Linked DNA regions of Tamandua tetradactyla. The protein of the gene in region 1 purifies or fractionates together with the protein of each later gene. This does not show direct contact. Links are inferred from orthologs where the notes say so. Each region holds a gene or a part of one and is shown on either strand. Other genes may lie near its edges. The genes, in order: BRAF and RPTOR.

The links.
Region 2: the proteins of BRAF (region 1) and RPTOR purify together in Homo sapiens (affinity purification with mass spectrometry; 3 studies listed by BioGRID and IntAct, with this or other methods). This does not show direct contact. The link is inferred for Tamandua tetradactyla from reciprocal best matches to the Homo sapiens genes BRAF and RPTOR.

The regions. Positions count from the first base shown.
Region 1 is NC_135327.1:184,376,501-184,392,383, reverse strand, and holds the start of BRAF (serine/threonine-protein kinase B-raf), read left to right. Parts: upstream 1-7,318; 5' UTR 7,319-7,363; coding exon 7,364-7,486; intron 7,487-15,883. UniProt on the Homo sapiens protein: Protein kinase involved in the transduction of mitogenic signals from the cell membrane to the nucleus. Phosphorylates MAP2K1, and thereby activates the MAP kinase signal transduction pathway. Phosphorylates PFKFB2.
Region 2 is NC_135332.1:72,765,225-72,782,068, forward strand, and holds the start of RPTOR (regulatory-associated protein of mTOR), read left to right. Parts: upstream 1-9,328; 5' UTR 9,329-9,886; exon of another isoform or gene 9,887-10,100; 5' UTR 10,101-10,155; coding exon 10,156-10,317; intron 10,318-16,844. UniProt on the Homo sapiens protein: Component of the mechanistic target of rapamycin complex 1 (mTORC1), an evolutionarily conserved central nutrient sensor that stimulates anabolic reactions and macromolecule biosynthesis to promote cellular biomass generation and growth.

The DNA.
Region 1 (15,883 bases):
AAGCCCCAGCACCAACCTCCAGACTAGTGTGAGTAAATACGCCTCTAGATGAGCCCAACTCCCAGCCATTGAGACACTCCCAACTATTGAATCTTCCCAGCTGAGACAGCAGACATCTCGGAGCAGAGATAAGCCATCCCTGCTATGCCTTGTCTGAATACCTGACCCACTGAATCTGTGAGTTTGCTGGTTTGGAGCTGTCTTGTACCAAAGCAATATTCTTTTAATCCACTCCTGTGGGGGCAGACCTATTGTGGGTGCGTTTTTTAATTAGTTGTTTCAATCGAGATGTGAACCAGCCCATTCAAGGTGGGTCTTAATTCTTTACTGGAGTTCTTTATGAGGGTAAAGACAGGAAAAGCCCAGACAGAGGAACGTGAGATACCATTGGCCTTTCAGTGCCTTGTAGTAGTGCTCAATAAATACTGTATCATTCATGCATAAATAAAAATAATAATTCTAGAGGTTTCAACAGATGGTACCTACTGGTGTGAAATGTTTTTCAGGCTATTCTTTCATATGGATACTTTCAAACTTGACTTTTTTTAAATAAAATAAAATTTGTCATTAAATATGAATTTGTTACTGTGTTAGTTAGATTCAGTTGTCAACTTGGCCAGGTGAGCATACCTAGTTTTGTTGCTGTGGACACAAGCCAATGGTACATGAACCTCATCTGTTGCTAATTACATCTGCAGTCAGCTAGGAGGCGTGTCTGCTGCAATGAGTGACATTTGACTTAATTGGCTGGTGCTTAAATGAGAGAGCACAAGGTAGCACAGCTAAGCAGCTCGGCATTCCTCATCTCAGCACTCGCAGCTCAGCCCAGGCCTTTGGAGATGGAGAAAGAAGTCACCCTGGGGAAAGTTGTTGGAACCCAGGGGCCTGGAGAGAAGGCCAGCAGAGACCATCCTGTGCCTTCCACGTAAGAAAGAGCCTCAGTGGAAAGTTAGCTGCCTTTCCTCTGAAGAACTAACAAAATAAATCCCCTTTTATTAAAAGTCAATCCGTCTCTGGTGTGTTGCATTCTGGCAGCTAGCAAACTAGAACAGTTACCTTTCCTCTATAAAGGCCAATGGTATCCCATGTTCCTCTGTCACATGGAAAAGCACATGGCTGGTGTTTGCTGATCCTTCTCTCTTGGGTTTTTTTGCTTTCAGGTGCTGGCTCTTTCAGTCTCTACCAGTCCTTGCTTGCTTCTTCTGGGGCTTTTCTCTCCAAGCTCTCTGGGTGGTTCAACTCTCTTGGTTCCATTTTAAAGCCAGGAATGCAGAAAGAGCATAAGCCCTGGAGTCATTCATATCTAGGCCTCTAATTGATTTTTTTTTTCTTTTTCTTTTTGCATGGTCAGGCACCGGGAATAGAACTCGGGTCTCTGGCATTGCAGGCAAGAACTCTGCCACTGAGCCACCATGGCCTGCCCTCTAGCTGATTTTTTTAAAATTTATTTTATTGATTAAACATAACAACATACAAACAAACATTCTTACCATATGATCATCTAATTGATTTTTTAAACTTTTTTATTGCTAAATATAACATACATACAAAGAAAAAAGAATGATTTTCAAAGTACACTTCAACAAGTAGTTACAGAACAGATTTCAGAGTGTGCTACGGGTTACCATTGCCCTATATCAGATTTTTCTTTCTAGCTGCTCCAAAACGAGGCTAGAAGTCTATTTGATTTTTTTAAAGTGTTTTTAATTTGAAATACTTACAATGTACAGGAAAGTTGCAAAAATGATACAAAATCCATACACAGAACTTGAACATACCCCCACTCAGATCTCTAGATACACTAACTTTTTTTAAATGCAGTTTTTTTGAGACATAATCACATATACAAACCACCTGAAGTATACATTCACTGGCTCACAGTAGATACACCAAGTTTTAACATCTTGCCACATCATTCTTTTTATACATCTGACTATGTATCTTTTTAAGTATCTATGTATCCATGTGTCTATGTATCTATCCCTTTCTATGTGTGTATATCTATCTATTCATCTATCCATTTTCTAAACATTTGAGAGAGGTTGAATACACTATGCTCCTTGAACATAATACTTCCATCATTCCCTAAGAACAAGGATATTCACTTATGTGAACACCTTAGGTATAGTTACCAAATTCAAGAAATTTAATATTGATAGAATGTTTACAGTCTATATTTAAATTTTTCATGTGTCCCAATAATGTTCTTTCAGGCATTTTCTCCTCCATTTTTAGATCCAGTCCAGGATCATGTATTTCATTTATTTGTTATTGTCTCTTCACTCTCTCTCTTTTTGTAAGTAGTGGACACCTATTTACAGATGTGAACTTTCTCAAATCAGAATTCCCAAACAGGCATGAACTTTCCCATATCAACCACTCCCAAGCATAAAATTCAAGGGGATTAATCACATTCACAATGTTTTGCTACTTCACCACCATCCATTACCAGAACTTTCCTATCACCCCAAGCACAAACTCTACATCCATTATGCATTAATTTCCTATTATCCCTTCCACCTCCCATCACTTATTGGTAACCTATAGTCTCCTTTTTGCTTCTATGATTGCATATTCTATCTAATTTATATAAATGGATTCATACAATATCTGTCCCTCTGTGTCTAACTTATTTCACTAAGCATGATATCTTCAAGGTTCATCCATGTAGTAGCATGTAACAGAAATCACTTTGAATTTTAATTATTTGCTTCACATTTGTTCCCCTGGATTAGGTTCCTTTTCTTTACTTAACATAAATTCACTTAGGTCATCATCTACTTTAAGCAAAAGGGGAAAGTTATAAAAAGTCATATTTATAAGTTATAAAAAGTGGAATTGGAAAGCTGTTGGAAATCTGAGGAAGTTCTGAGTATCAGCTTCTTTGTTTACTCCTCTCATGGGGCCTGGATGGTTTTGCTTTCATGGTATTTCTTCTTCTTTCTGCATGTCGGCGTGGGACTCCTCTCAATACCAACTGACAAATCCTGTATATAGGCTCCATTTCAAACTCTAGGTAGAGCTGATAGGGCTGGTCATCATAACCCTCTGTGCTGATTTGAAACTGTTATGTACCCCAGAAAAGTCATATTCTTCTAATCCAATCTCGTGGGGGCAGACCTATTGTTGGGTGAGACCTTCTGCGTAAGTTGCTTCCACGGAGATGTGACCCCAACCGTTTAAGGTGGATCTTAATCTGCTTACTGGAATCCTTTAAGGAGACACTTTGGGGAAAGCATAGACACTTGAAGACAGAAAATGCCCCGGGTATATGCTAAGCTAAAAGATGAAATCCAGAGTTTGCCCCAGTGAAGCTAATAGAGGACTCACAGATATTGAGAGGGAGAAACACCCTGAGATGCTACTGAAGCAGAGAAAAAGCCAACAAAATCAGAAGCTAAAAGCAATGAACACGGAGCAAGGACTAGCAGATGCTAGCCATATGCCTTCCCAGCTGACAGAGGTGTTCCTGATGGTGGCGGCCTTTCTTTAGAGCTCAGGTATCATCTCATTGATGCTTTAATTCAGACATTTTCATGGCCTTAGAACTGTAAATTTGTAAAATAAATCCCCTTTGAAAAACCAGTCAATTTCTGGTATATTCAATTTTGGCAGCTTTAGCAAACTGAAACACCCCTCTTGGGCAGAGCTCTGACAGGTGCAGACCAACACTTGAGTAAGTTAGATGAGGGTCAGTGAGTGGCCCAGCCTTAATCTGCCTCTGAAGGGATGGGGCTCTCAACCTCAAGCTGCTTCCCTGGGTAGGAGGTTGGGGCAGCGAAATTCTACTAAAATACAGCTCACATGTTCATTATATGGCACCACTCCAGGAGGTAAAAGTGATCTCTGAAGGAAGGACAATGGTGTCCTACCCATCTCAGTATCCCAGAGGACCTACCACAGTGTCTGCTCCATTGTAAATGGTCTATATATGACTACTGAATGGCGTCTTGAAAGTGCATTAGATCTTTAAGGGACAGAATATAGAAGGAGAAGAAAAGGATGCTGAGAATAGAGCTATGAGGAACCCTGATATTTTTAATTTGAGAAGAAGGGGAGTCAGAGACAAAACAAAAACAAAAACAGCAAATGAGCAGTCTGGGAGGAGATACAAGTTTGCAATACTCAAGCAAGGAAATAATTTTGGAGTGGTTAAGGTTGAATGCTGGACAGAGGACACGGTGAATGTTTGCTGAATACTTATAGCATTTTATACTTTGCAAAGGGCAAAACTATAATGTTAGATTCTCAAGATGCTATAGTTACACAAGTAGGACTAACATTATTAGCCCTTATTTTATAGATTTTAAAGACGAAAACAAAGAAGATTTAAGTTTAACTATTTTACAGCCGAGGTGTGGCATGGTGATACTAAAATCCTGACTTTAGATTCCAAGGTTTGTGTTCTATCTGGATGCTGTGGGATTTTAGCCTGGCCTAAGGAACTCACATATACCCAGAATTTGAAGACATGGTCAGAACATGTTGAGTGAATCAAAGGGAAACTAATAATAATAAATATTAACTGGATGAGCTCAGCCATCCTCTGGAGAAATAACCATGCAAGATATGATCTATGGATTATTGCCGATAAATAAGGCAATAATTTAAAATGCAACCAGTAAAAACCATAATCTCAGGACTTTTAGCATGTTATGAGGCACTGTAAATGTTATGATAATGAAATATCTTTAGGGGCTGATTGGAAAAAAATTAAATAGGAGCGTAAGAGAATAAAAAAAAAAGTTAGTGTGGTTTTGATGAAATAAAAGGTAAGGATGCCATGACTGATGGTGGTATTTCAATTTGCTTAGAATGTCCCCATGGTAAAGTAGGGTGCTTCTTACTTACAAATTACTATACCTTGATTTTATACCTTATGATCACTTCATTTACTCTTCATCTGCCAAGCTACCTTGGAATTTAAATGTTTTCCCTACGGAGATTTTTCTACTTGGAAGAAAAAGTGCAGAGGAGGTGAAAAAACATACCGTCCTCATTTGATAGGTTGTATTTCTAAGGGTTGAGGAATATTGGTAATATTTGTTAATCAGCCTTGTATGCAATCAGCCTTGCATACAATACCTTACCCGGGAAGTACACATTAGCTTCTAGGCTCATGGTCACCGTGCTAGTTTGAAACTTTTAGGTACCCTGAAGAGTCGTTTTTTTTTTTCAATTCTGATCCAACCCTGTGGGGCCAGATCTATTGTTTTGGGTGGAACCTTTGATTAGATTGTTTCCAGGGAGATCGACCCACTCAATTATGGGCATGGCCTTTTGATTAGATTATGTCCACAGAGATGTGACAAACCCAGCTGTGGGTGTGACCTTTTAATTAGATGGAGATGTGACTCTGCCCATTCAAAGTTTACTGGAGTCCTTAAAAGAAGCAACATAGACACAGACATTTGGAAATGCTTAGAGTACCAACAAAGAGAGCAGACACCTAGATATAGCTGTTTGGGGGACACAGAGCCATGGTCATGGGGGACATGACCATGTACCTTCCCATGAGATGCTAAGCAAGCCAGAAGCCAGCAGGATCTGCTGGAGCTGAGAGAGCTATTTGAAACTCAAAGCCAGGAAGGGATGTAGACACCAGCCACATGCCTGCCTATGTGACAGACATTGGTTTTTCTTAAGTCTAGGTATGCTTATCTGGATGCCTTAGTTTGGACATTTTTATGGCTTCAGAACTTTAACATAATAAATTCCCTTTATAAAAGCAAGTCCATTTCTGGTATATTGCATGCCAACATCATTAGCAAACTAATACACTGACTCCTAAGCATACTGATATGCAGATACCCTGGTTCAGAAATCAGTTAGCCAGGTTTATATTTCTTTAATCATTTTAAATATAATAAGGAGGTCAGTGGTAACTTCCTCCCACTCTATGGGAAGTATTAAAAAAGCACAGTTCAGGAAAATTCTCCTGTCCACACTTTCAATTATATGCTTAGGTTAATTTGGTGATTAAATGCATACCACTGGGAGTCCACAGTAAGTTCTCCTGTGTTTCTCATTCCTATTTATCCCTTTTTTTTTCTGAGTCTCTCTTGCTTTTTTAATATATGCATTTTTTTTTTTTTTTTTTTTTTGAGAGAGGGAGGAAGGGAAGGAAAGACAGAGAAGGAAGGAAGGATGGAAGGAAGGAAGGGAGGAAGAAAGGGAAACATTTTTAAACATTTTCTTGTTTTATTATATTTTGTTTGTTTGTTTGTTTTTTACATGGGCTGGGGCCGGGAATCGAACCGGGGTCCTCCGGCACGGCAGGCAAGCACTCTTGCCCGCTGAGCCACCGCGGCCCGCCCAATATATGCATTTTTAATAGCACTTTTGATTTCTTTAATTCCATTTTATAATTCGGCACTTCAAGGTGATTTTACCTATCCTCTACAATTGTTTAGCAGAGAGAAGGCCTTGGTAAATTGTTTATAAAAAGCACAAAAGTATATGATTTTCTCGGAAAAAAAATGATTAAAAATTTGATGCTTCAGATGTCCAGATGCCGTCCCTTGTATAGGCCATAGCACATATAAAGCTCAATTGATAGTTGTTAAACGAATAGACCTGGAAAATGAAGACTTAAGAAAACATTACTTCCTCAAAAAAGCTATTAGACTTCCATTTAGACCCACTCAACAGGCCAAATTCTTAAATGGAAAGGATACAAGAAATGCACTAATTATTTAAGCTGTTCTGAAGTATACTTTTTTATCCAATCCTACTTGGAGCCTTCAATCTTGGGGTTTAAAAATCTCCTTTTTTTTTTTTTTTTTTTTTTAATAACACGGAGACCTTCATTGTACTGAAATAATTCAAGTAGTGTGGGCTTTCCCCGCTTCCTCCAAGATTTCAATTTCTCAGACACCAGCCTTCCTCTCCTAATAAATCCCACATTACTGAACAGGCTTAGGACCAAGGAAATGATAATAAAATAGGAAATCGGAGCCATGGAAACCAAGGAGCTGAGGAAACACGCCAGCGCGCGCGTGGGTAGAAGGTAATAGAACCTTCTCCTGACAACGGCGCGAGGGCGCTCCTACGATTACGTCACGCACTACGGGGGTGACGTCACGACAGTGACATGAGGGTGACGCCGTTGCCGCGGCGACTTCTAGTCGTCTCCGCCCCTTTCCCCCGCCCCCCCCTCCGCTTAGCGTCCTTCCCCCAATCCCCTCAGGCACCGTTTCACCCGGGGCCGCAGGCCGGTACCTGAGGTGGCCCAGGCGCCCTCCTGCCCCCGGCGCCACCACGATCGTCCCTCCCCGCTGCCCCCGCGCCTCCGCCCCCGCCTCCCCCCGCCCTCCTCCTCCCCGCCCAGCAGCGGTCGCTCGGGCTCCAGCTCTGTTATAAGATGGCGGCGCTGAGCGGCGGCGGCGCGGAGCAGGGCCAGGCTCTGTTCAACGGGGATATGGATCCCGAGGCCGGTGCCGGCGCCACGGCCTCTTCGGCTGCGGAACCTGCCATTCCCGAGGAGGTGAGTGCCGGTGCCATACTATCACCTTTCTTGTCTCCTAACTTGGCTGATTTGTGTTTATTTTGGGGAGAGAGGTGGCGGTGGAGGCTCTGGTGTCCTCAACCACCTTCTCCTTTTGGCTTTGCGAGGTGGGAGATGGGCATCTCTTCCATTCCGGTCTCTCGGTTTTGCGGTTCTTCGCTACGTAAACACAGTGGCCAAGGGGGATTTCCCCTGGCCCCCACCCCAGATTTGGGGATACGGGCAGCGGTGGTTGAGCAGGAGGCTATCAGTAGGGGGCGAAACTCAGGATTGGTCCGAGAAGGTCACGACTGACTGAGGTATCCAGCCCGGCATCTATTAGATGTTTTCGTGTTTTTTTGGGGGGTGGGGGTGGGCAGGGAGGAGGCGGCCTCATCCAGGAGGAGTATGTAGGCTAGTGGATGGGATCGAGACCCCAGTCTGATTTACTGTTGTGTGTGATTATTAGAAGATAATGAGGATGATGGGGCGCGTAATTCCCCCTCTACTCTCTCTGATTGTCCCCTTTTTTTCCTAGGCCACTGTCCTCCCTTCCACTGTTTGGTCATTTATATTCACCTGTGTTACTCGGCGGATGGTTTTGATTTAGTCTCTGCTTTTTTAACTCTTAAGTACCACAGTTTCCGCTGTCCTTTCCATCCAGGTCTCAGGCCAGTCCCTAATGCTTGTCAGCGCTCTGTCGCTGACTGGCCGCCCCCAATACCATTATGATCTGTTGCCCTGCTCATTTTCAAGTTGTTGGGACCTCCCTGCTTCTTAATGTAGGCTTCTACTTAAAACCGTTGGTGCACTTCTCTTGTTGTAGTTTCTTGAGGCCCTCTACTTCGTGCCACCGTTCCGTCACGTTGTTAATCCTTCAGGACACTTTGAAGCTACTTATTTTCTGAATCCTTGAAGCTGTCAGAATTCCATCAGGTTTTCACACTTGTGAAATTTTTTTTCACCCTTCCACTATTGGCACTTTTTGGCTGGTCTTTCATTGTGTTTTCTCACCTCTTTATTCCTATATTCTGTAGTTTTATTTTTTTCTATTATTCTCCTTTTTTGTCCCAATTATTTTCTTTCACTTTTTTTCTTTTTTTAGGCCTTACTTTTCACAGCCTGTTTTGGCATTATTCAACCTATCTTGTTAGGTTACTTTATTTGCATTTCACTTTATTATGTAAAATTTATTACATTTAGTATTTTATTACATAAACAGTATACTTTAATTTACAAATACATACACTTTACAGATATTTTATTACATTAAAATAGTACATTTTATTTACTTTACCAATGATAAGATAACATATGGTATAGTAACTGTTTTAGTAGTATTGTTTAGGTAATGAGACTAACTCTGTTGACTTTGCTCGAAGTTCCATTTCCTTCCTAGTACTTATATCTTGTTTACCATTTGTCATAACCTCTCATTCTTTCTTCTATCTGCATAATTCTTTTTCCTGCTTCTTCCTCTCTGCTCTGGGAATTCATCTGGTATGCCTGCTTTATTCAGAGTCACTTTGTTCACAATTATGTTTGTTTTCCACCCTCTTTTACCACTTGCATCTATACCTAAAATGTGTTTTGTGCCATCGTTTGATCTAATCTCAATTTCTCGTCTTTTCTCCCTTCTTAACAAAATCACTCCACTTTCCACTTTCCAGGTTGCATTTCTGCTCAGGTAAGTTTCCTCTAATATTTATTTTATTCAACTTCTTGGATTCTAAGGATAGGGCTCTTCCCTTCTATTTTGTGCTTTATTCTGTTTTCTGTGTCCGCAGTTACCATTCATTCTGCCTTGTTTCCTGGCTTTTGATACTTAATTTGCTGAAGCTTCCTCTTGTCTTCCCCACACCTCCACATTCCTTCTTATTTATAAACAGCTTTGTTCCCTTGACATGGAAGTTTATTTTTAGGATACATTGTTTTTAATGGATAAATACTAGGGGTCACATCTGCTGTCTATTTTTTCCATGAATCGGATATGCCTTTGTCTTACCAAGCACAGGTGCCTCTAGGCTTTACTTTACTCTGCGTACATGGTGTGTTTTTGTTTTATTGTAGCTTTTTTTGAAGGCTGTCAAGGAATGGAAGGACAAATAAATTAATGGGTATGGGTTATGAAATTGAAATTGATTATATACGTTGTTTACATTGAGAACTTTTTCAGAGTTATGAGAACAGTTTTCAATGATATAGGGAAGGGTAAAATCTTTACTCTGCTATCCTCCTTGAAAGGGCCAGATTGGAGTATACAGATTCCTCGGCATTACCTACTCAAGATTCTGATTCAGTAGGTGAGCACTAAGCTCATGGGTTTCTATACTTGGTGCTCTTCCTGGGTAACTCTTGTGTACACCAATGCTTGAGAACCTCTAGGCTGAATGAATTTAAGTTTAAATTAGCAGTAACTGGAAAGCATAGTCTTATTTCCTGAAGCTATAAGGATACTCTGAACTAATTTTAAATACTGGAAAAAGTGTTTCTCACTGCCCCCTCCATCCAGGTTTTAATGTTTAGTGATGAGTAGTTGTTTTTCCTCTCTATTATGGGCTGATCATTAAGTATATTGGGGGGGTGTGAATGATTTTAAAAATCGGTCTCTCTTGAATGTATGTATCAGTGTTATAGATGGTAGAATAAGTTCCTCCAAGAAATAATTTTAAATTTGAAGTTGATATTGTTAAATCAGTGGAAGCTGAAATGTATTGTGGTATTTTGGTTAAACTGTCTTCCTTATATCCACTTAAAGGGATGTCTTATAATTGCCAAGTACATGGAAAGAAATGAAAATTTGTGTTTGTGTTTAATGACATTTTATTATAAAGTTACCTTACCTGATGTTAAAATAAAGTTCTGCTTTTTTTTTCTTTTAAGTCTGTTAGAGGGGAATTTCAACTGTATTTTTTTTTTTAGTGACAGAGACAAAACATGTTCATAGTCGAAAAATAAAAGTGTAAAAACAAAATGGAAAAATCACCTGTAATGTCACTCAGATATAACTACTATAAACGTTTTGATGTATATCCATCTACTTTGTTTAATGTATGTATAATATCTGGTATGTAGTTTTGCAGTCTTTTCTAACTTAATGTGGCAAAACTTTTTACTTATCATGAAATAAACTACCATTTATTTAAACTTTTTTTTTTTAATTTTAGGGTGCATCAAATTTTTACCATAAAAAACATCTTGAACATAGAATATAAATTTTAGCTTTTAGAATAGTAAATTTTAGCCTTTAAATTTGTTAGGGAATGAACAAATTTCTTGTTCTGTATTTATAAGCATAACTTTGTAGATGCTTAAATTAGAATTTTCTGCTAAATGACAAGAGTTTATTAAATATTTATCAAATGAATGTGCTTATACTTTAGGCATTAAACATTGACTTCTTATCATTTGTGTTTCCCTGATGTTACTTTCTATGACCATATGGTATGAGATTATCAAAGTATGATTTTTATTAACTTCTCTATTATGCTGGGTTTCTTTAGAAGGGCACTACTTACAATTCCATTACAATTACAATTTTATGTTTTTAAGATCCTTTCTCTCTAATCTTGGTTAAGCTGTAATTATAATGATGTCAGGGAATATTCTGGAATGGAATCTCCTTTATAATGAAGTCCACTGTAAGAGAAGACTTCTTTGTGAGCCATGCCAAACTAGGTTGGATGGCATCATACCTCTGAAATGTGGTAGTCCCACTAAGGTATGTGCTTGTGTAGTTCTGACTATTGCTATTAATACGTGCCTAGATATATTTGAAGGCGGAGAAAACATGCTCTTTAGGATATGTCTTTGATATTTGTACTGTTTCCTTTCTGTATACTTTCTTTCTGCTCATTTAGTGGACCCCCTCTTTCTTTTAGGTGTTCACCCACCTCTTTATTTAGAAAATTTCTCTGGGATTGCTTTTTTTTTCCAGTCAGCCTAATTCCCTGGAGAGTAGTCCAAGCCATTGCGTGTATCAATAGTTCTTTTTTGTTGTTGCTGAGTAGTATTACATGGTATCAACATACCAGTTTATTCAACCACTCACCTTTTGAAGGACTTTTGGGTTGATTCCAATTTTTGGCTGTTAAAAATAAAACTGGTGTGAACACATGTGCACAGGTTTTTGTGTGAACATATGCTTTCATTTCTTTGGGATAAATGCCCAGGAGTGTGATTGTTGGATCATATGGTAGTTGCATGTTTACTTTTTTATGAAACTGCCACACGGTTTTCCAGAGGGCCTGTAGTGTTATTATTATTATTTTTTTAGTAGAAAACTGTAGATTTACAGAAAAATCTTGCAGAAAATACAGAGTTCCCATCTACTGCCCCCCAGGCCCAGTTTTCCCAAATAATTAACACTTTGTATTAGTGTGGTACCTTTGTTACATTTGATAAAACTGTATTACTATAACTATACTCTTAACTTTAGCCCATAGTTTACATTAGGATTCACTATTTGTGTTGTACAGTCCTTTGTTTTTTTTTAAGTTTTCATTTTAGTAATTTATGTGCAATCTAAAATTTCCCCTTTCACATTCAAATACATAATTCAGTGCTGTTAATTACATTCACCATCTTATGCTACCATCACCGTTTGTTACCAAAACTTTCTGTCACTCCAAACTCTGTACCAATTAAGCATTAACAACTCATTCCCTACGCTCTCTCCAGTCCCTGGTAAGCCTGTATTCTAGCTTCTGACAGTATGAACTTGTTTATTCTAATTATTTTATAAGAGTGAGATTATACTCTGTTTGTTATTTTGTGTCTGGCTTATTTCAGGCAACAGGATATCTTCAAGGTTCATCCATGTTGTTGTATGTATCAGAACTTCATTCCTTTCTTCTTTTTTTGGCATGGGCAGGCTCCAGGAATCAAACCCAGGTCTCTGGCATGGCAGGCAAGAACTCTGCCACTGAGCCACCATTGCCCACCCCATTCCTTTTAATATATGAATAATATTCCACTGTATATATACACTAGACTTTGTTCATCCTTTCTTCCACTGGTGGACACTTGAGTTGTTTCTCCTTTTTGGCTGTTTTGAATAATGCTGCTGTGAACACTGGTATACAAATACTTATATGAGCCCTGCTTTCAATTCTTTAGAGATTTGTGGGTCATATGGTCATTCTATACTTATCCTTTTCAGGAACTTGCCAAACTGTTTTCCACAGCATATGTACCATTTTATTTACCCACCACCAATGTACAAGGTTTGTAGTTTCTCTACATCTTCATCAACACTTGATTTTTTGTTTTAAAATAGTAGCCGTTCTAGTGGGTATGAAATGGTGTCTTATGATTTTGGTTTATTTTTCTAATCATAAACGATGTTGAATGTCTTCTCATGTGCTTTTTAGCTACATGTATTTCTTTTTTGGAGAAATGTCTGTTCAGATCTTATGCCCATTTTTAAATTGAATTGTTCATCTTTTTGTTCAGTTGTAGTAGTTATTTTTTAAAAATTTTTATTGATAAAACCAATCCACATACAACATGAACATTCTTAATGTATGAACATTACATACTTGGTGTGCAATCTGTATGTGTGTGCTCACAATATCGTCACATAGTTGTATATTCATCACCTGATCATTTCTCAGAACATTTACATCATTCCAGAAAAAAAAAATAAAAAGGAAAAAAACAAAACTCATACATTCAATATCCCTTACCCCTCCCTCTCATTGACCACTAGTATTTCCCTCTACTCAGTTTATTTTAACATTTGTTCCCCCTATTATTTATTTATTTTTAATCCATATTTTATCTGTCCATACCATAGATAGAAGGAGCATCAGAACAAGGTTTTCACAATCACACAGTCACTTTACGAAAGCTCTATCATTATACAATCACCTTAAAGAAACGTGGCTACTGAAACACAGCTCTACAGTTTCAGGCACATCCCTCTAGCCTCTCTAATACACCTTAAACTAAAAAGGGGTTATCTGTATAATGCGTAAGAATAACCACCAGGACAACCTCTTAACTGTGTTTATTTTTTTAATTTAATTTAATTTTCTTAAAATACAAAAAAAAAATGCAAACATTCCTATTTTGATCATTGCATTCTACATATATAATCAGTAATTCACAGTATCATCACATAGTTGCATATTCATCATCATGATCGTTTCTTGGAACATTTGCATCTATTCAGAAAAAGAAATAAAACGAAACCAGAAAAAAAAATTATACGTACCATACCCCTTTCATTGATCACTATCATTTCAAACTAAATTTAACATTTGTTCCCCCTATTATTTATTTTTATTCCATATGTTCTACTCGTCTGTTGACAAGGTAGATAAAAGGACCATCAGACACAAGGTTTTCACAATCACACAGTCACAGTGTGAAAGCTATGTCATTATACAATCATCATCAAGAAATATGGCTACTGGAACACAGCTCTACATTTTCAGGCAGTTCCCTCCAGCATCTCCATTACATCTTGAATAACAAGGTGATGCCTACTTAATCCGTAAGAATAACCTTCAGGATAGCCTCTCGACTCCGTTTGGAATCTCTCAGCCATTGACTCTTTGTCTCATTTCACTCTTCCCCCTTTTGGTCGAGAAGGTTTTCTCAATCCCTTGATGCTGAGTCTCAGCTCATTCTAGATTTTTTCTCAAGCCCTTCATGCTGAGTCTCAGCTCATTCTAGGATTTCTATCCCATGATGCCAGGAAGTTCCACATTCCTGGGACTCATGTCCCACATAGACAGGGGGAGGGTGGTGAGTTTGCTTGTTGTGTTGGCTGAAGAGAGAGGCCACATCTGAGCAACAAAAGAGGTTCTCTTGGGGGTGACTCTTAGGCCTAATTTTAAGTAGGCTTGACCTGTCCTTTGTGGGGTTAAAATTCATATGAACAAACCCCAAGACTGGGGGCTCAGTCTATAGCTTTAGTTGTCCACACTGCTTCTGAGAATATCAACAATTCAACTTGGGGAAGCTGAATTTTCCCCTGTTCTCACCATTCCCCGAAGGGGACTTTGCAGATGCTTTTTTATCCACTGATCAAATAACTCTGGGATTCATTGGGGCATCACTCCAGACAAACCAACAAAATCTCATGTCCTACCCAAGGTTCCATGTACTTATGGTGTTCAACCAAGCTATCTATATAAGCTATATTAGGAAATGCACTAGTCAAAATATAAATTTTGTATCAAATAGACATTATTTGTTTTAGTCTCACACAGAAATTGAAAATTTAAAATATTACCCTCTATTTTCAGCACCCTTTAGTAATGACATTCCTTTGTTCTTCCTCATGCAAAAACATTTTGAAAATTTGTACATTTAGTCACTATCATTATACACTGTAGGCATTGCTAGATTATACCATCTCAGTCTTTATCGTCTGTCTTTCTTTCTGATTTCATTTATGCCCCCAGCCCTCCTCCCTCTATCATTCTCACATTCAGCTTCATTCAGTGTTTTAACATAATTGTATTACAGTTAGGTAGCATTGTGCTGTCCATTTCTGAGTTTTTATATTCAGTCCTGTTGCACAATTTGTATCCCTTCAGTTCCAATTACCCAATATCTTACCCTATTTCTGTCTCCTGATGGTCTCTGTTAGCAATGAAATATTCCAAGTTTATTCACTAGTGTCAGTGATACCATATAGTATTTGTCCTTTTATTTTTGGCTAATGTCGCTCAGCATAATGTCCTCAAGGTCCATTCATGTTGTTATATACTTCATAACTTTATTCTGTCTTACAGCTGCATAATATTCCATTGTATATATATATATATACACCACAGTGTGTTTAGCCACTTGTCTGTTGATGGACATTTTGGCTGTTTCCATCTCTTTGCAATTGTAAATAATGCTGCTATAAACATTGGTGTGCAAATGTCCGTTTGTGGCCTTGCCCTCATGTCCTTTGAATAGATACCTAGCAATGGTATTGCCGGGTCATATGGCAATTCTATATTCAGCTTTTTGAGGAACCGCCAAACTGCCTTCCACAGCAGTTGTACCATTCATTTGACATTCCCACCAACAGTGAATAACTGTGCCTCTTTGTCCGCATCCTCTCCAGCACGTGTCGTTTTCTATTTTATTGATAATGGTCATTCTGGTGAGTGTGAGATGATATCTCATTGTGGTTTTATTTGCATTTCTCTAATGGCCAGGGACATTGAGCATCTCTTCACGTGCCTTTTGGCCATTTGTATTTCCTCTTCTGAGAAGTGTCTGTTCAAGTCTTTTTCCCATTTTGTAATTGGATTGGCTGTCTTTTTGTTGTTGAGTTGAACAATCTCTTTATAAATTCTGGATACTAGACCTTTATCTGATATGTCATTTCCAAATATTGTCTACCATTGTGTAGGCTGTCTTTTTACTTTCTTGATGAAGTTCTTTGAT
Region 2 (16,844 bases), on another chromosome or scaffold:
ATATCTTCCAAGCCGTTTGCTTCAGGGCATTCATTTGCAGTTTCATCTGGTGAAACAGGATTAATCACTCTAGGGCTAATCCCCTCAGGTGGAGGTTGGGTGGCCAACTCCTCAAGGCAGGTTGGAGGTGGGGCAGTTATGTCCTCAGGGCAAACTATTACAGTGTTATCTAGAGAAGACTCAGCATGATCTAGGGTTTCAAACTTTTCACCGACATCATTATCAACCCGTACGTATGTCACCATCCCATTTTTCAGGGCCCTACTCCTTTCAAATCAATGCCCTCACTTTAACAGCAGACACCATGCAAGATTGAGATTTCCGTTTATGTTGTAAAGTTGCCACTCTGACAATAAGATTCCGAGTCTGATTTTCAGAGATCTCAATTCTACGGCTATAGGAAATAAAATTTTCCTTCAGGGTACTCACAGAAACGTCTACAGCTGTCAGATGGTGCTTAAGCTTCTTGTCTGAAGCCCTAAGCCCATCCCTTTCACTCATTAATGTATATAGTGTATCTAACAACAACCAGCCAACATCTCTATACTTACTATTTCCACAAAACTCCGTAAAGGCATCAAAAACATTGTCCCCCAGAGCCTGGCTTCATACAAGGAAAGTGTTAGAAGAACTGAATGGTGGTATTTTCACTATCTCTTTTGCCAACTCACTCCAGGGATTGGTAATGTCATTCTGATTATGGGAATCAGAATCCTTAGTGCCTATGAACTCCAGTCAATTTAGAAAACCATTCATAAAAACCCATTTTTAAGATTCTGTTTTATAAGAACCATTCCTGGTACCAAGTTGTATTAGTTAGGGCTCTCTAGAGAAGCAGAATCAGTGGGAAATATCCATAGATATAAAATTTATAAAAGTGTCTTATATAACCGTGGGAACATAGAGTTCAAAATCCATAGGGCAGACTGTTAAGCTGATGACTCTGATGAAGGGTTTGGATGAACTCCACAGGTGAGGCTCGCCAGCCGAAGCAGGAAGAGAGCCTGCCTCTTCTGAATCCTCCTTAAAAGGCTTTCAGTTATTAGATTAATCATCACAAAGATGACATCTCCTTGGCTGATTACAAATGGAATCATCTGTGGATGCAGCTGACATGATCATGATCTAATTCTATGAAATGTCCTCATTGCAACAGACAGGCCAGCACTTGCCAAACCATGATTAGATTAAGCATCACTCATTAAATAAGACACTCCCCTTGGTTGATTACAAATGGAATCAGGTGTGGATGTAGCCGATGTCATCATGATTTAATTCTATGAAATGTCCTCATAGCCGAAGACAGGCCAGCACTTGCCCAACCAGACAAACAGGTACCACCACCTGGCCAAGTTGATACGTGAACCTGACCATGACAGAGTCCAAAACCACTGCTTTATCATTTTATACATTTGTCCTTTAGATCCTGTAGGAAGTAAAAAGTGCAGTTACAACCAAAACCACAGTAGGACTAGCAGTTATATTTACCTGCATCATTATCCTCACCAGAGATCTTTATCTCTTCATGAGGTTTTAATCCTTTGTTGGTGTTGGGTTAAACCTGTAGAATTCCCTTTATCATCTCTTGTGGGGCCAGTCTACTAAAGATGATCTCCTTCAGCTTTTGTTTCCTGGGAATGTCTTAATCCCTCTCTCACCTAAAATAAATATTTATTCTTTACTGATATATATTATATATTCACATACCATGTAATCATCCAAAGTGTATAATCAGTGGTTCACAATATCATCATACAGCTGTGCATTTATCAGCAAAATTTACTTTTTTTCTTTTTTGTAAAAAATAACATGCATACAAAAAACAATACATTTCAAATCACATCACAACATTTAATTGTAGAACAGATTTCAGAGTTTGGTATGGGTTAGAATTCCACATTTTTAGGTTTTTACCTCTGGCTGCTCTAAGATACTGGAGACTAAAAGAAATAACAATATAATGATTTAGCAATCATACTCATTTGTTAAACCCAACCTTCTCTATATATCTTTTTCTAACTCTTTTAGGGGTATTTGGGCTATGCTTATTCTAACTTTTTCATGTTGGAAGGTGTTCTAGTTTGCTAGCTGCGGGAATGCAATATACCAGAAATAGAATGGCTTTTAAAATGGGGAATTTAATAAGTTGCTAGGTTGAGAAAATTTCCCAATTAAAACAAATCTATAGAAATGTCCAATCTAAGGGATCCAGGGAAAGATACCTTGGTTCAAGACGGCCAATGAAGCTCAGGGTTTCTCTCTCAAGTGGAAAGATACATGGTGAATACAGTTAGGGTTTCTCTCTCAGCTGGAAGGGCACATGGTGAACATGGCGTCATCTGCTAGCTTCCTCTCCAGCTCCCTGGGAGGCATTTTCCTTCTTCATCTCCAAAATTCGCTGGCTGGTGGACTCTCCGCTTCGTTGTGCTGTGGCATTCTCGGCTCTCTCTGAATCTTCAGTTTTCTCCAAAATGTTTCCTCTTTTATAGGATTCCAGTAAACTAATCAAGACCCACCTGAATGGATGGAGACATGTTTCTACCTAATCCAGTTTAACAACCACTCTTGATTGAGTCACATCTCCAGGGAGATGATCTAATTATAGATTCAAAATACAGTACTAAATAGGGATTAGAAGAAACTGTTGGATTTATAAAATGGGATTAGGATTAAAACATGGCTCTTCTAGGGTCCATACATCCTTTCAAATTAGCACAGAAGAGGCTGTCGATAATATGGGATGGGAGATGGAACTAACTGATGTTCTGGAGAGGCTGGCCCCTGTGCATTTCAGGATTTATCGGGTCCAGGGACCCATCTGGACGTTGCAGTTTTCTGGAAAGCAACCCTAATGCATGGAACCTTTGTAGAATCTTATATAATGCCATAGGTGTTCTTTAGGATTGACTGGAATGGTTTTGGGTGGGGTTTGGCAAGTCATGGTAGGTAGCAAGGTCTAACTGAAGTTTGCATAAGAGTAACCTCCAGAGTAACCTCTCGACTCTATTTGAACTCTCTCAGCCTCTGATACCTTTTTTCACAATTTTTTTTTTTTTTTTTTTTGCATATGCAGGCACTGGGAATTGAATCTGGGTCTCTGGCATGGCAGGTGAGAACTCTGCCACCATGGCCCATACTGATACCTTTTTTATTGCATTTCTCTTTTCCCCCTTTTGGTCAGGATAGCATTGTTGATCCCACGGTACCTGCCTCCCTTATTCTTTTTCTTTAATTTTTTTTCCTTCCCTCATTTTTGAAAGACAGTTTTGATGGACATAAAATTCTTTGTTGGCAATTTTTTTTTTTTTTTTTTTTGCTTTCAGCATTTTAAATATGTCTTCCCACTGCCCTCTTGCCTCTATAGTTTCCAGTGAGAAACTGGCACTTAATCTTATTGAGGCTCCCTTGTATATAATATATTCCCTACTCTCTTGTATCTTTCCAAATTCTCTTCTTACATTTGGCAGGCAACAGTTTGATTATAACATGGCACAGTATGAGTTTATTTAGGTTTATCCTGCTTGGAGTTTGTTGAGCATCGTGGATGTATATAATTCAAGTCTTTCATTAAATTTTAGAAGATTTCAGCCATTATTTCTTTGAATATTCTCTCTGCTCCTTTCTCTCTTTCTTCTTTGCATTTTCCACAATGTATATATTTGTACATTTGATGGTATCCTACAGGTTTCTTGGGCTTCTTTCAATATTTTTCATTCTTTCATCTTTCGTGGTCTTCAGATCAGATGATTTTTATTTATTTATTTATTTGGGGGATACATGGTCCGGGAATCGAACCCAGGTCTCACTCATGGAAGGTGAGCATTCTACCACTGAACCACCTGTGAACCCAATAGCAGATGATTTCAATAGTCAATTTAATTGATTCTTTCTTTTACCAGCTCTAATCTGCTGCTGAACCCCTGTAGGGAAGTTTTAATTTATGTTACTATGGTTTTCAGCTCTGTTTCATTCCTTTTCATGGTTTTCCTTTCTCTCTATGCATATTTTTTTTCTGTTAGTCTCTCACTTCTCTGATTCCTTTTAGGTTTTTGTCCATGTTTTCCTTTAGCTCTTTGAGCATATTTAAGACAATTTTTTAAAAGCCATTGTTCTCCTCGTTAGAGGCCTAGTCTTCTTTGTTGATGGTTTCCAATACTTTATCTTCTCTTTTGTCTTGACTATCACCTCCTATTTCTTTGATTGATCACTGGAATTTAGACTCTGAGGCATCTATTTCTTCAGCTTATATCCAGCTAGTGTTAATACAGAGTTTTCCTTGAATGCCAGGAACTAACAACAAAAAAAAAAAAAAAAAAGGGGGGGGGGGGGGAAGAAATATCTTTCCCTGTCTTCGTAGATGGACAGGTGAGAGAGCTCTCATTCAGTCTATCCACACAATGATTTTAGAGAATAGCTCGAGGTGGACGTGCAGGGACCTTCTGATACTTTTGCATGTATGTTGTCTTGGGCATATGAATGTGGCCCTAGGAAATCCCCCACTTACATGGTTCCGAATATCCCTTCTTCTCTAGGAATTTCCTCGCGGTCAGGGGCACTGCCCTGTGTGTCCCACAGCAGCAGTCCCCTGCCCAGGCAGCGCAGCTTGCCTGCTCACCCATAGTGTTCTGCCCGGTGAGCCTCCTTCCACATGCAGGACAAGTTCTGGGACAGCGAGTCTCTCAGGCCACCCCCAGACAGACTGGCCCAGACACACCTGCTCCCAGGGTGTCCAGGAGGTCAGACTGCTCCCTCTGAGGCTGGGACCGGGGCACTGGCAGCCTGGGCAGCTCTGTGCTGAGCTGGTGAGGGGTGGGGGGCGGGCCAGCCAGGGTACCATGGGGTTCTACCAATTTCAGTACCTGTTTTCTTGATTTGGTGCTCACCCTGTTTTTGAGGCCCTTTAACCGTCTTCTGGAGCTTTGAGAAAGACGTTTCTGCCAGTTCTTTTTGGTTTTCGAAGCTTCTCTGTTGGGGGGGCGAGCCCTGAAGCATCTCACTCCGCCGTCTTGTTCGGGTGGGGCCTCTCTTAACACGCTATCTGCAATGGGCACATGTCCATCTTCTTTGCTCCACCTGCAGGGTCCTGGGGGAGCAAGGAGGGCGATCTTGGAGTTTGTGACCTGGGAAGGACACTTGTTTTCATCCTGCTCCACAAAGAATTTCCAAGGGCTGTGGACAGCGGGGTCAGATCCAGGAATGACTTGGAGGTGGACTAACTCATCTGTCCAGACTGATTGGCTAGAGGGTCCTCACTGGACCAACAGGGAATGTGACCCAGACACATTCCCCCCTCCCTCCCTCTGCTCTGCTTTCCACCTTGCTCTACATTCTAGGTACCCCAAACAGGTGCTTTGTCATCCCGGACAACACAACCCCATGTGGAGAACAGCCTCCCAAGAGGGGAGGCAAGGGCTGAGGTAAAGGTCACATTTCACTGTCTTCTCCCTGGAAAATTCTTCAGTATATGCAGGACTGAGGCTTTACTCCTGGTCTCTTGTCTTCATGCAACACGCCCAATTCCTTCTCTGCTCTGCCTTGCTGCTGTCCCTTTAAGGCTGGGACGGTGCAAAAATCCTCAATTCTGAAATAAGAAATGTGGCCAGTGAGTGAAGTTTATTGACTAAGGGGTCACTTTTCACCATAGTCCCCACGTGACTCAGAGGTCATCCCTTATTTAAAGCAGAATAACACTGTTGATTTCTGCTTATCAAAATAATACACGCTCATTGTAAGAAAAAAGTTATAAATAAAATAGAAAAGTATACTGTGGAGAGTGAAGATCACACATACATCTACCACCGTATTTTTAGAAGACGACGTGGAAAGTGAGAGAGACAGACTTGTCTTCTCGCAACCTCGCATTTCCCACTGGAGGTGATGCTCAGGTCCCATTACTTCCCTTTCCTTTCCCTTCTCACTTCACTGTCACCAAAACATCTGACCTGCAAGGGTGTGGTGGGGGACGGCTTGGGTTTTGCTAAAAACAGAATAATGATGCTCGGAGAAAAACAAAGTACTTTATATCTATTTTGGTTTCTTTTAAGCTAAGCACAGATTTCTCTGGAAGGGATGGAGCCGGCCGGTCTCTGTCTGTGGAAAACAATAGCTCAGCAAAGCACCCAATTTTCTGCAGTTGTCCGACCTTGGGTTTCACTCTTGATTCTTGATGATGACAAAGCACACTGAATGCCCTTGATTGATTTAGTGTAGAAACTGCAATATTGGAGGATGGAAAACCGGTGCTGCGTGCAAATGGAACACCTAGGCTGCAAGGGTCTTCCGTTTCGGGGAAAGATTAGGTCAGTTGGAGTGGGCCAGTAGCAGAGCTTCCAGGCTGTGAAAATCCAGTCCCCTTTGACCTTCGTCCACAAATTGCTCCTTACATTAGGTATTTAATCCCATCCTTTCTGCCCAGTACCCCCTCTCACCTTCCACCCCCCCTCCCATATTTACCCTTGACTTTTGTTCCATTTGATCAACACACTCAGGTTTTGATATTTGTCCTCTTGCCCACTTGGCTGTATCTCTGGCTTCAGGGTGTCTTTCATGTAGCAGGCAGAGTCTGAGTTTTAGGGCTGGAAGGCATCCTCCCGTCTGTCCTCACATGGTCAGGACACATCCCCCTCTCTGAGCAGGCAGGTCAAGGGCTATTCTGATATTTCAGATCAGAGCTGAGCCTAGAGGCCCCTCCCCTTCCCCAGTTCCCTCCACATGGGGCCCCTGCCCACCATTGGCAGGATGGTTTCTACACCCCTCTGCCTTGCCAACACTGCTGTCAAGTCTTATATAAAAGACTATTTCTTTCTAAGACTCAGTGGGGCAGGTGTCATGAACGACCCTCCCCCATTTCCATAGCTTGAATCAGACCAAGTTTCATGCATTTTTTTTTTTTCTTCAGATTTGTAAAACTTGTTGAAACTATTTTGTCTCGAACCTTTGCGGAAAGCAGATGTCTTTGCTTCTGAAGAATTGGAGACACTGGAAGTTGGAAAGGCAGACCCAAGTGGCCAAGCCAGGCCCTGCCATGGTGATGGGATCACCCAGCTGGGAAACATCAGCCCTTGGATTTTAGCCTGTTGTTGTCATAGGTGCTTCTGTGTTCCTGAAATGTGGAGCTGAAGGGTTGTCTGGGACTGGAATAGAATCATCCGGGACACGTGGAATGAGATTTCTTTCCAATGTCATGATGTGATGAAATGACTCAAGCTCATGTTTGAATCTGTAGGTTGGAGGCTGGGCTGCCAGGAGCCCCTTTCTGGGTTTTACACAAATGACAGGATTTTGTATCTGAAGGGTCCTTAGAGAGCACCTTCTTCAGGTTTCTTGTGTCACAGATGTGGAGACTTTGGGTGGAGACAGGCAGAGGCTCTGCGGAGTCTGCAGGTTTCAGTGGGTGGGCTGGAGACTCGGCCTGGGCACTCACCCCCTCCTGGCCTCTTGATTCTGGTGTCACATTGTACAGCAGGAGAAGAAGTGTTTTAGTCTGAAATTTTCAGTGTTTTCTTGCTCTGCTTTGCCAGGTGCTTTACAGTAAAAAAAAAAATTTTTTTTTGGTTCAAGTATTTATTGAGGGCCCACATGTATTTGGAGCATTGAAAGGGACCTTAGAGAGCAAATTGTCTAATGTCCCCAAATATGGCTGATTTAATCTATCATTGGGGTTATCTGATTGAAAAAATGCAGATCCCATTTCTCCAACCCCTCTTTCCCAGTTTAATAGGTTCAAGATAGAGCCAGGCATCCTTATTTTAAGTATTTTCCCAACTGCCAAGTTATGCACTATGGGCTCATCTCTTAACGTCACTTAGTGTGTCAGACAAGGTAAGTGGATTGATTCCCCAGGGTCACATGTTAACAGGTGGGTACACTGAGCCTCAGTCAGACTGAGGGGGTTTGCTCAGGTTTGGAATGGACAGGTTTAATCTGGGGCTCCACTGCAGCACAGGGTCCTGCTGGAGGGAGCTGCCTGAAGCCCAGAGGTGCCACCTTCCCTGCTGTCCTCAGCCTGAAGACAAGGCAGGGGCCAAAGTTATTTTGTTGCCTTCTGGTGAGAATAGGGTCTTCCCAAGTTCCTGCTCATGATTGTGGGGATACTCTCTGCCAAAACGTCGTAGCCCCCCTTTAAGGATTGGTGAATTTGCCCTGATTTCTAATGCGAGAACTGGGCTTAGTGGGGTATAATAATGAAACAAATGCAATGAGAGTAGATTGAGTTTGCAAATTTAAATGTTTGCTATGGGTAAGAACAATCTTGCCCTCATCTGCACTTCCACCGTTGAGAGGAGAACATGCCATAAGGATTTGGGGGCGGACAGCCACATTGTGTCAAAGTCCTAGGAAGCCACCAACAGGGTATCCTCGAGAGCCTAACCTGAGGTTTTCGGTTAAGAAAGCAGGAAGGGTTTGCTAGATTTCACTCTAGCCACAGAAAGATTATTGCTAATCCTTATTGAATGCTCACTATATACGAGGCATGAGTTAATTTTATCCTTCCAAGCGGGGATTACTATCCCAGTATTACAGTTGTGGACACAAAGACAGCTAGTTAAGGGATTGGCCAAGGTCACACAGATGGAAAGTGACTTGGCCAAGATTCGAATCCAGGTGTGTCGACTCAGAAGCAGAGAGGAAGACCGAGTGTCTGCTCCGTCCCGCTTTAACTAAAGGTATGTGTGTGTCTCCCTAGACACTAAGTTTATTGAAGGCAGGGACTGATCGCTGCATTCGGCTTTATATTCCCCACTGCACTTAATAACAGTTTCCTGCGCATTGTAAATAAAGAGTGTTTATTTACACTGAAATTGAGAAATAAAATAATCTGGGAGGACTGCCTCAACGCATAGAAATCCATAGCTTTTGGTCTTTGAAAAAACAAAAAACTGCTCAGAAAATATGGTGGAAAAAACAAAAAATGACCTATGAGGTATTTTTTTTTCAGTTGTTTTTCTCTGAAGAAAATTAAAAACAGAACCTGCTGGTCTGGGTACTGTGGCAGATACTAAGTACAAAAGATACTAATTTTCTTCTGAAATATTATGGATTTTTTTCCTGAAACTTATGTTGCCTTCTTTTCAAAATCTGGAAGAAACAAGGCGGTCGGTTCCTTTAATTACACAAGCATGTAACTTGGGTTGCAATAATGGATTTTCTTTTTTCAAAATTAATTAACTGAATCTGGTTTCATTTCTGGGAGTGACTGTAATACCATGCGGCGATAAATGAAGAGAGGCCGAATTGTGGTAACCCAGGCAACCAGGCAGGAAATTCTTGTCTTGCTGGATCTAGAGAACTAGAGAAGAATGCTTTAAGGAAGTTTGGCCCGTCAGGCACGCCATAGATTGCAATGCATTCTGGGTCTCGGCAACATGGCGTCCTCCTTGATGTGCTGATGAGAGGAGTTTCACTGTCGCTCCAAACCAGAGGGCAGAACTCTCCAAACCCAATAAGCCCACGTTACCGTTTTATCCGCGGGGCCGTGTCGCCCTTTCCTTAGGACTCGTTTTCAGGCAGGATTGAGCCAGGGTGCCGAGGGCCAGGACCAGCCAGGCCGCGCGGTCCCGGGGCTGAGGAACCGGCCGCAGGCCAGCACGATGGGCCGATCCTGGCTCTGGTTGCAGCAGCTTAGGCGAGTACGAGACCCTCAGGGCTGAGAGTGACTGGAGGAGACCTGAGGCGCCCAGAACTAATAGCTCTCGGCCGGAGATCTCGTCCAGTCGGCGAACCGGCACCAAGACCGGGGGGCTTGCCTGCCCTCCGATCTGCTGGGGCGGTGGAGGCCGAGAGCAGGGTCATCGTTAGGCCTGAAGTCTCACGCCTTTGACAGCTCGGCTCCCAGACGCTCGGAGGACGGTCATTCTAGAAGCAGCCAGTGGCTTGGGGTCTGAGGGTGTGTGAATTTGTGTGGAGCTCCTTGGGCTGCCCCGTTTGCCACCGGCTTTTCCTTCGACTTCCCGCGCAGAGTTAGAGATAGGGAGCTCAGACTTTTTGCTTGAGTAAGGGTCTCTGCATACTCTCCATTCATTTCTTTTTCTAACCCCCCCCTTTTTTTTTCTTCTTTCTTTTTCTTATTTCACCAATTCTGGTACACGCTGATTTTTAAGGCTGGAGGTTTTGGAGCGCTTACTGCCAAGGACTCCCCCACCCCCTCCTTCCCTGATGGAGTCCGAGATGCTGCAGTCGCCCCTTCTGGGACTCGGGGAGGAAGATGAAGCCGACCTTACAGACTGGAACTTGCCTTTGGCTTTTATGAAGAAGAGGCACTGTGAAAAAATCGAGGGCTCCAAATCTTTAGCACAGAGTTGGAGGATGAAGGACCGGGTAAGTAGGTCCTAACCGAGTCCCTTGGACCTTGGTAATTTTGCCAACGAGGAAAGTTCAGCCAGAGGCGTGTCCTTGGGAAAGCGCCGGTATTTTTTCCCAGCCACATGTTACAAGTCAACCAAAAAGCAAGAAGCATTTCCGACTCCAATGTTTGGTTGAAAATGGGAAAGATTGTTTTGGTTAGTAATTAGTGGGTAGCGTTAATTCAATTCAAACGAAGTTCTAATTCAGCTAGTAAAAGTTGAGCAGATTTGGAAATACAGTATTGTAAATATTTATACACTCTTTACTATATCTAGTGCTGTTGGATTTAGAGAAAAGACAATTTGGGATATAAACCAACACTTGGACCCATGTGGATAGTCTACTTTTGGGGGAATAGGGGGTGGGTTCCAAACTGGGTAATTACAGAAGTCTAATATAAAACAGTGTGCTAAGAAACAGGATTACTGTGAAATGTTCAGCTAGTAACAAATTAATGCAAGGTTGTTTTAAAGTTACAATGAGTTTCATTATAGTCCTCTCAAAAGTTTGTCTAGAATCTAGACTCATATGGTATTGTGGTTGTTGTACCATGGAAACAGAATTTCTTTAATAGTGGAATTTAGCATATGATGGTTGGAATTTGGGTCCAGGCGTTTTTAGTGGGTCTGGGCCCCCATGGTGCTGGAGTGTATTATTCATTGGCTCGCAAGCAGCTGCTAGGAAAGAAGAAAGCCATTTTTGTAGAATGCATAGTTAATCAACCACATGTTTCCTGGTCTTCAAAGCAAAAGGGTGGAACCATCTCATCTGTGCACACTTGTAATTTGGCCTTTTGTGATTTATTTTCTCCTTCAAGGGTGCCTTTATTATTTGAACTGAATTTCAGTGGTATAAAAAGGGGAAGTTGGTGTTGCAATACAATATGGTTTGTTCTAGGCTCAGTACATGTTTACAGGAGGTTATTGTTTTTAATATCTGATGTTAAACATGTAAGATTACTCTATTGTAATTCAACCAGTGCTTCAGTTATTGATTTGGTTTATTTTTAAAAGATTAGGAAAACTTCTTTCATCCAAGAGTAGCTTAAAATGTACAATAAACGGTCATTAGGAGAAGAAGTCTGTTGTATAAACATCTTTAGTACTACTTACATAGTTTAAAGCTTTTGGGATTGTTGTTCATGTATGAAAAGAAATTTATCTTAAAGCAACTCTGTCTAATCTTTTTTTCCCCCACATTCTATTTGGAGGGCAATTTTATTTCCTTTGAAATGTGGTTCCTTTTACTACCTTAAACCCACGCTCAAATTGTTCAAAACTGATTGATGGATATATTTTGATATATATTAATTTGTGAATGCCGAGCATTCCCTAATAAGCTTGTCATAGATCATTAAGTAAAGAAAAGTTGTGAGAGTCTGAGTAACTATTGAGTTTGCCATTCAGAAAAGAACCAGGGGAGAAAGTTTGCTGTATCTGACCTTTGCAAATTGCTGAATAATGACGAAAATCAACAGCTAACAGTTTCTGTTACATTTGTGAGAGGTTTTAAAGAGTCCTTGAAGTCTCTTTCCTCTAGTCAAAAAACTCGAGGGGGTCTTTTCAATCCACTGGACTAGAATTAGAAGGTAGCATAAATGAACAAAGCAGGTCAGGTATGAGAATAATACTGGCATAAGTTCAAAGATAACATTTGGCTCAGTGTCTTGTAGATTTTCAGTGTCTGGTAGATTTTTTGGAGAATGGGAATGGAGGGTTCTGGAGAGCATATTCCTATCTAAAGAAGGCAGCTGGGCCTCAGCTAGAATTCTCTCTCGTGTGCATTATCTTTTTTTCCTTCCCACCCCTGCCCCCTTCCCTCTCCCCTTCCCTTCCTGCCCCCTATTTTCCTCCTCCCCGCTTCCCTCCTCCTTCCCCTTCCCCTTCCCTTATTTTTAAATATTGGAACTAAATGAGATATTACAAATAACTATGCAGTGCAACACTGCAGGCCAAACAAAACCACCTATGGACTGATTTTTTAAAATTAATTAAAAAAGTTTTTTAAGTACCAAAAAACACCAAACACAAACGTTCTTAACTTTTGATCATTCCATTCTACATATATAATCAGTAATTCACAGTATCATCACATAGTTTCATATTCATCATCATGATAATTTCTTGGAACATTTGCATCTATTCAGAAAAAGAAATAAAAAGAAAACAGAAAAAAATTCATACATACCATACCCCTTACCCCTCCCTTTAACTGATCACTAGCATTTCAAACTAAATTTAACATTTGTTCCCCCTATTATTTATTTTTATTCCATATGTTTTATTCCATATGTTTATTCCATATGTTTTACTCGTCTGTTGATAAGGTAGATAAAAGGAGCATTAGACACAAGGTTTTCACAATCACACAGTCACGTTGTGAAAACTGTATCATTATACAATCATCTTCAAGAAACATGGCTACTGGAACACAGCTCTACAGTTTCAGGCAGTTCCTCCAGCCTCTCCTTTACATCTTGAATAACAAGGTGATATCTATTTAATGTGTAAGAATAACCTCCAGGATAACCTCTCAACTCTGTTTGGAATCTATCAGCCATTGACACTTTATTTTGTCTCATTTTGCTCTTCCCCCTTTTGGTCGAGCAGGTTTTCTCAATCTCTTGATACTGAGTCTCAGCTCATTCTAGGATTTCTGTCCCACATTGCCAGGAAGGTCGACACCCCTGGGAGTCATGTCCCATGTAGACAGGAGGAGGGTGGTGAGTTTGCTTGTTGTGCTGGCTAGAGAGAGAGGCCACATCTGAGCAACAAGAGAGGTTCTCTTGGGGCTGACTCTTAGGCCTAATTTTAAGTAGACTTGACCTGTCCTTTGTGGGGTTAAGTTTCATATGAACAAACCTCAAGACTGGGGACTCACTCTATAGCTTTGATTGTCCACACTGCTTGTGAAAATATCAAGAATTCAACTTGGGGAAGTTGAATTTTCCCGCTTTCTCACCATTCTCCGAAGGGGACTTTCCAAATACTTTTTTATTTACTATTCAAATCACTCTGGGATTTATCAGGTCATCTCTCTGGACAAACCAACAAAATCTCATGTCCTACTCAAGGTTCCATGTACTTATGGTGTTCAATTAAGCTGTCTACATAAGTTATATTAGGAAATGCTCTAGTCAAAATATAAATTTTGTACCAAATAAACATTTCTTTGCTTTAGTCTCACACATAAGTTAAAATTTTAAAATATTAATTACCATCTGTTTTCAGCACCCAGCAGTAATGACATTCCTTTGTTCTTCCTGATGCAAAAAGATTTTTTAAATTTGTGCATTTAGTCACTGTCAGTATACACTCTAGGCATTCCTACATTATACCATCTCAGTCTTTATTGTCTATCTTTCTGATTTCATTTGTGTCCCCAGCCCTCCTCCCTTTATCATTCTCACATTCAGCTTCATTCGGTGTTTTAACATAATTGTACTACAGTTAGGTAGTATTGTGCTGCTATGGACTGATTTTGACCAGTGGCTACCCATGTGTGACTCCTCCTCTGCTATGAAACCTATAGTTGGTTTTAGGACTTTCTGGTACCAACGCATCCAGACCAAACTGTTTCTCTGCTGGAGAGTGTCACCACAGACGGGCCTGGTCACAGTGCCGTAGAGATTGTGTAGACTTCTCCTGGTGGGCCGTTAACTGTTCCAAAAGGCAGACTCAATCTTCGTTTCTTTCTGTGATTGATGTGCCTTTCCTTGTACTTTTATTTTGTGTATGTACAAACTTACTAGTGTTGTATTAGTGGAATTGTTATGGATTCCTAAAATTTACGTATTTACCAAAGTTAACTGAAGACTCTAAGAAGTTTTTAACATTTGGCAGCCTTCCAAAGCTACAGTACATGCCTACTCTCAGTTGGAGTTCTGACAATTTTTATTTTGAGTAGGTCCTGGTTTTCAAATACTGCTATTGTTGCATTTTAATTATTGTTACTCTTGTTTAATGCCATTATTGTCAACTTATTCTTTTGTTTGGTTACTTATACAGTGTAGAGTGAATGATATTCATATACATCAATAGTTTTTTATGGTTGTGATGCTGTAATAATTAGATTTATATACAACTTACAGTACAAAATGAGTCAGTCATATACTTATGTCTAAAGCATATATATATATATCCTCTACCCAGTTGTATTTTATTGTGATATTTTACAGCTGTCACAGAGTTTATTTTTTCACTGGAAAGTGGGGTAGGTGGGTAATTGGTCTCAGAAGCAACTTTTGTTTTGTATATGTGATGTGGAATCAGAAAAGCTTGAGTGCTTTCACTCTAAAAGGAAGCAGTTGGACAGACACCTGTATATGTGTATATGAGATATAACTATAAAACGATGATGCCAAACCAGCCTCTAGACTTAGTTGCATTGCTTTGTAACCATGCTTTGAATAAGTTACAGAGGAAGCAGAGTGGGTACATTGAACTAATACATGGACAGTAAAATGTTTAGGTTGTCTTTTAAGCAGGAATAATAGTAATACCTTACAATCACACATTACTCCCCGCGGTTCCTCCCCTTGCATTTACTCCTCAGTCTGCTCCACTTAGGCTTGTCTTCATTTCACTAAGGCTGCTTCTGACCCCATCATCATTTCTTGCTCAATCTAAAGATCAGTTTTCTGTCCTGACCTTATTTGACCTTTTAGCAGCATTCCACACAGATGACCACTCCCTTCTTCATGGAACTCTTTCTTTACCTGCTTCTGTGTCTTTATGAAACTCCAGGTTTTCCTTTTAGGTCACTAATTTCCTGAGGATGTGCCTAAGAAAGTGATCTTTCTCTTTTCTGTGTCCACCTCTCCTTCACGAATCTCATCCAGGATCATGGTTTGAAATGCCCTTTACATGCCAGTGACTCTCAAATCCCCCACTTTTAGATCTGACCTGCTCCTGAAACTCCTGTCTCAGATTGTAATTGCCTACTTTGCCTTAGTTTTCTCTATTGCAGCATGCTGTCCTCACCATTCACCCAGTTCAAGCTGTAAATATAGATTTTATCTTTCATTCTTTCCTTTCCCTTGCCCCATCTCCCTTCCAGTTCATCAGCAGAACCTGTTGACTTTACCTTGAAAACACATCTTTTCTTGGACCACTTCATTTTATCTACACCGCTGCCATTCTAGTCCAGGCAGCCAGCATCGCTTGTCTGCACAATAACAGTGGTGTTCTGGCTGGTCTCCCTATGCCCACTGTGCCTTCCAGTTGATTCTTTACATAGTGGTCAAAATGATCTTTAAGAAATGTACTCAACTTATCTTACTTCCTTATATCTTCCTCAGTGCTTTGCATAAAATGCAAGCTCCTTATTCTTGGTTCACAAAGCCTGTGATGCTTTGCCCTCTGGATTTGAACATTGAGTTCCTTCGAGTTAGCTCCTTATCATTGTTCACACCCGGCTTCCGGGTCCTCCAGGGGCCACCCCTGATCACCCAACCCAATGCAGCCGTGCACTCACTTTTGACCACTCTTCGTTTCTCAGACATTTTCCTCCACACTCCCTCTTCTACAAATAAACTGGTGTAAAGGACAGTGCCTGACACAAAGTAGGGATTCAATGAAGTGTATCAATGAAAAGATGAATAGTTTACCAAGGACTTTCACACAAATTATCTTTCTTAGGGGTCCATAGTGCTGTAAATTGGTTAAAAATTATTATTCCATGGTATCGATGAGGAAGCTGAGTTTTAAATGAAATGACTTGCCTGAAGTTACATGGCTAGCAGTGAGAGGCAGTGGAACTTGAGAAACAAAGTCTAGTTGAAAATAAAAAACTGAACTACCAAAATGTTTCAGTTGAAAGATTCAGGGTACATTCAGAGGTCCTGGGGTCGCAAACAAAAAATATGTGGGGATATAGTAGTCAGGTGAGAGGGAAGGGGGCTTACAAAAGTAGCAGTAGACCACCATCGCATCATTCAGATTGAAAATGGTGTCAGTGCTATAGCGTAGCTGCTCTCAGGGTATGCCGTATGGTCTCCTGGGCTTTCCTGAGACCCTTTCAGGCGGTCTGCAATCAAAACTATTTTCTTAAGAAAGATAATGTCATTTGCCTTTTCCACAGTGTCGACATCTACAGTGATGGTACAAAAGTAACAGTGAGTTAAACTGCTGGCATTATATATGAATTGAAAACAGTGGTCCCAAATTATACTAGTAGTTATTGTTTCCTATCTGGCCACACACTGACAGAAAAAAATAGAAAAATTCCAGTTTTACTTGAGAATGTCCTTGATGAAGCAGTAACCATGATTCGTTTTATTGAATCTCACTCTTTAGTGCTTGCCTCTTTAATGTTTTGTGTGATGACCTGGGGAGTTTACAGAACGGACTTGTGAAAACTGAAGTAGGATGGTTGGTGGCGGGGTAGCAATGTGGACTGCCAGCTGCAGTAGCTGCTGTTTTTATGGAGCTGGAGCTTGGCTTGGAAGGAGGATGGATGGGCCAGCTCTGGTGCTTGGACGTGGGTTTTGGCAGACATTT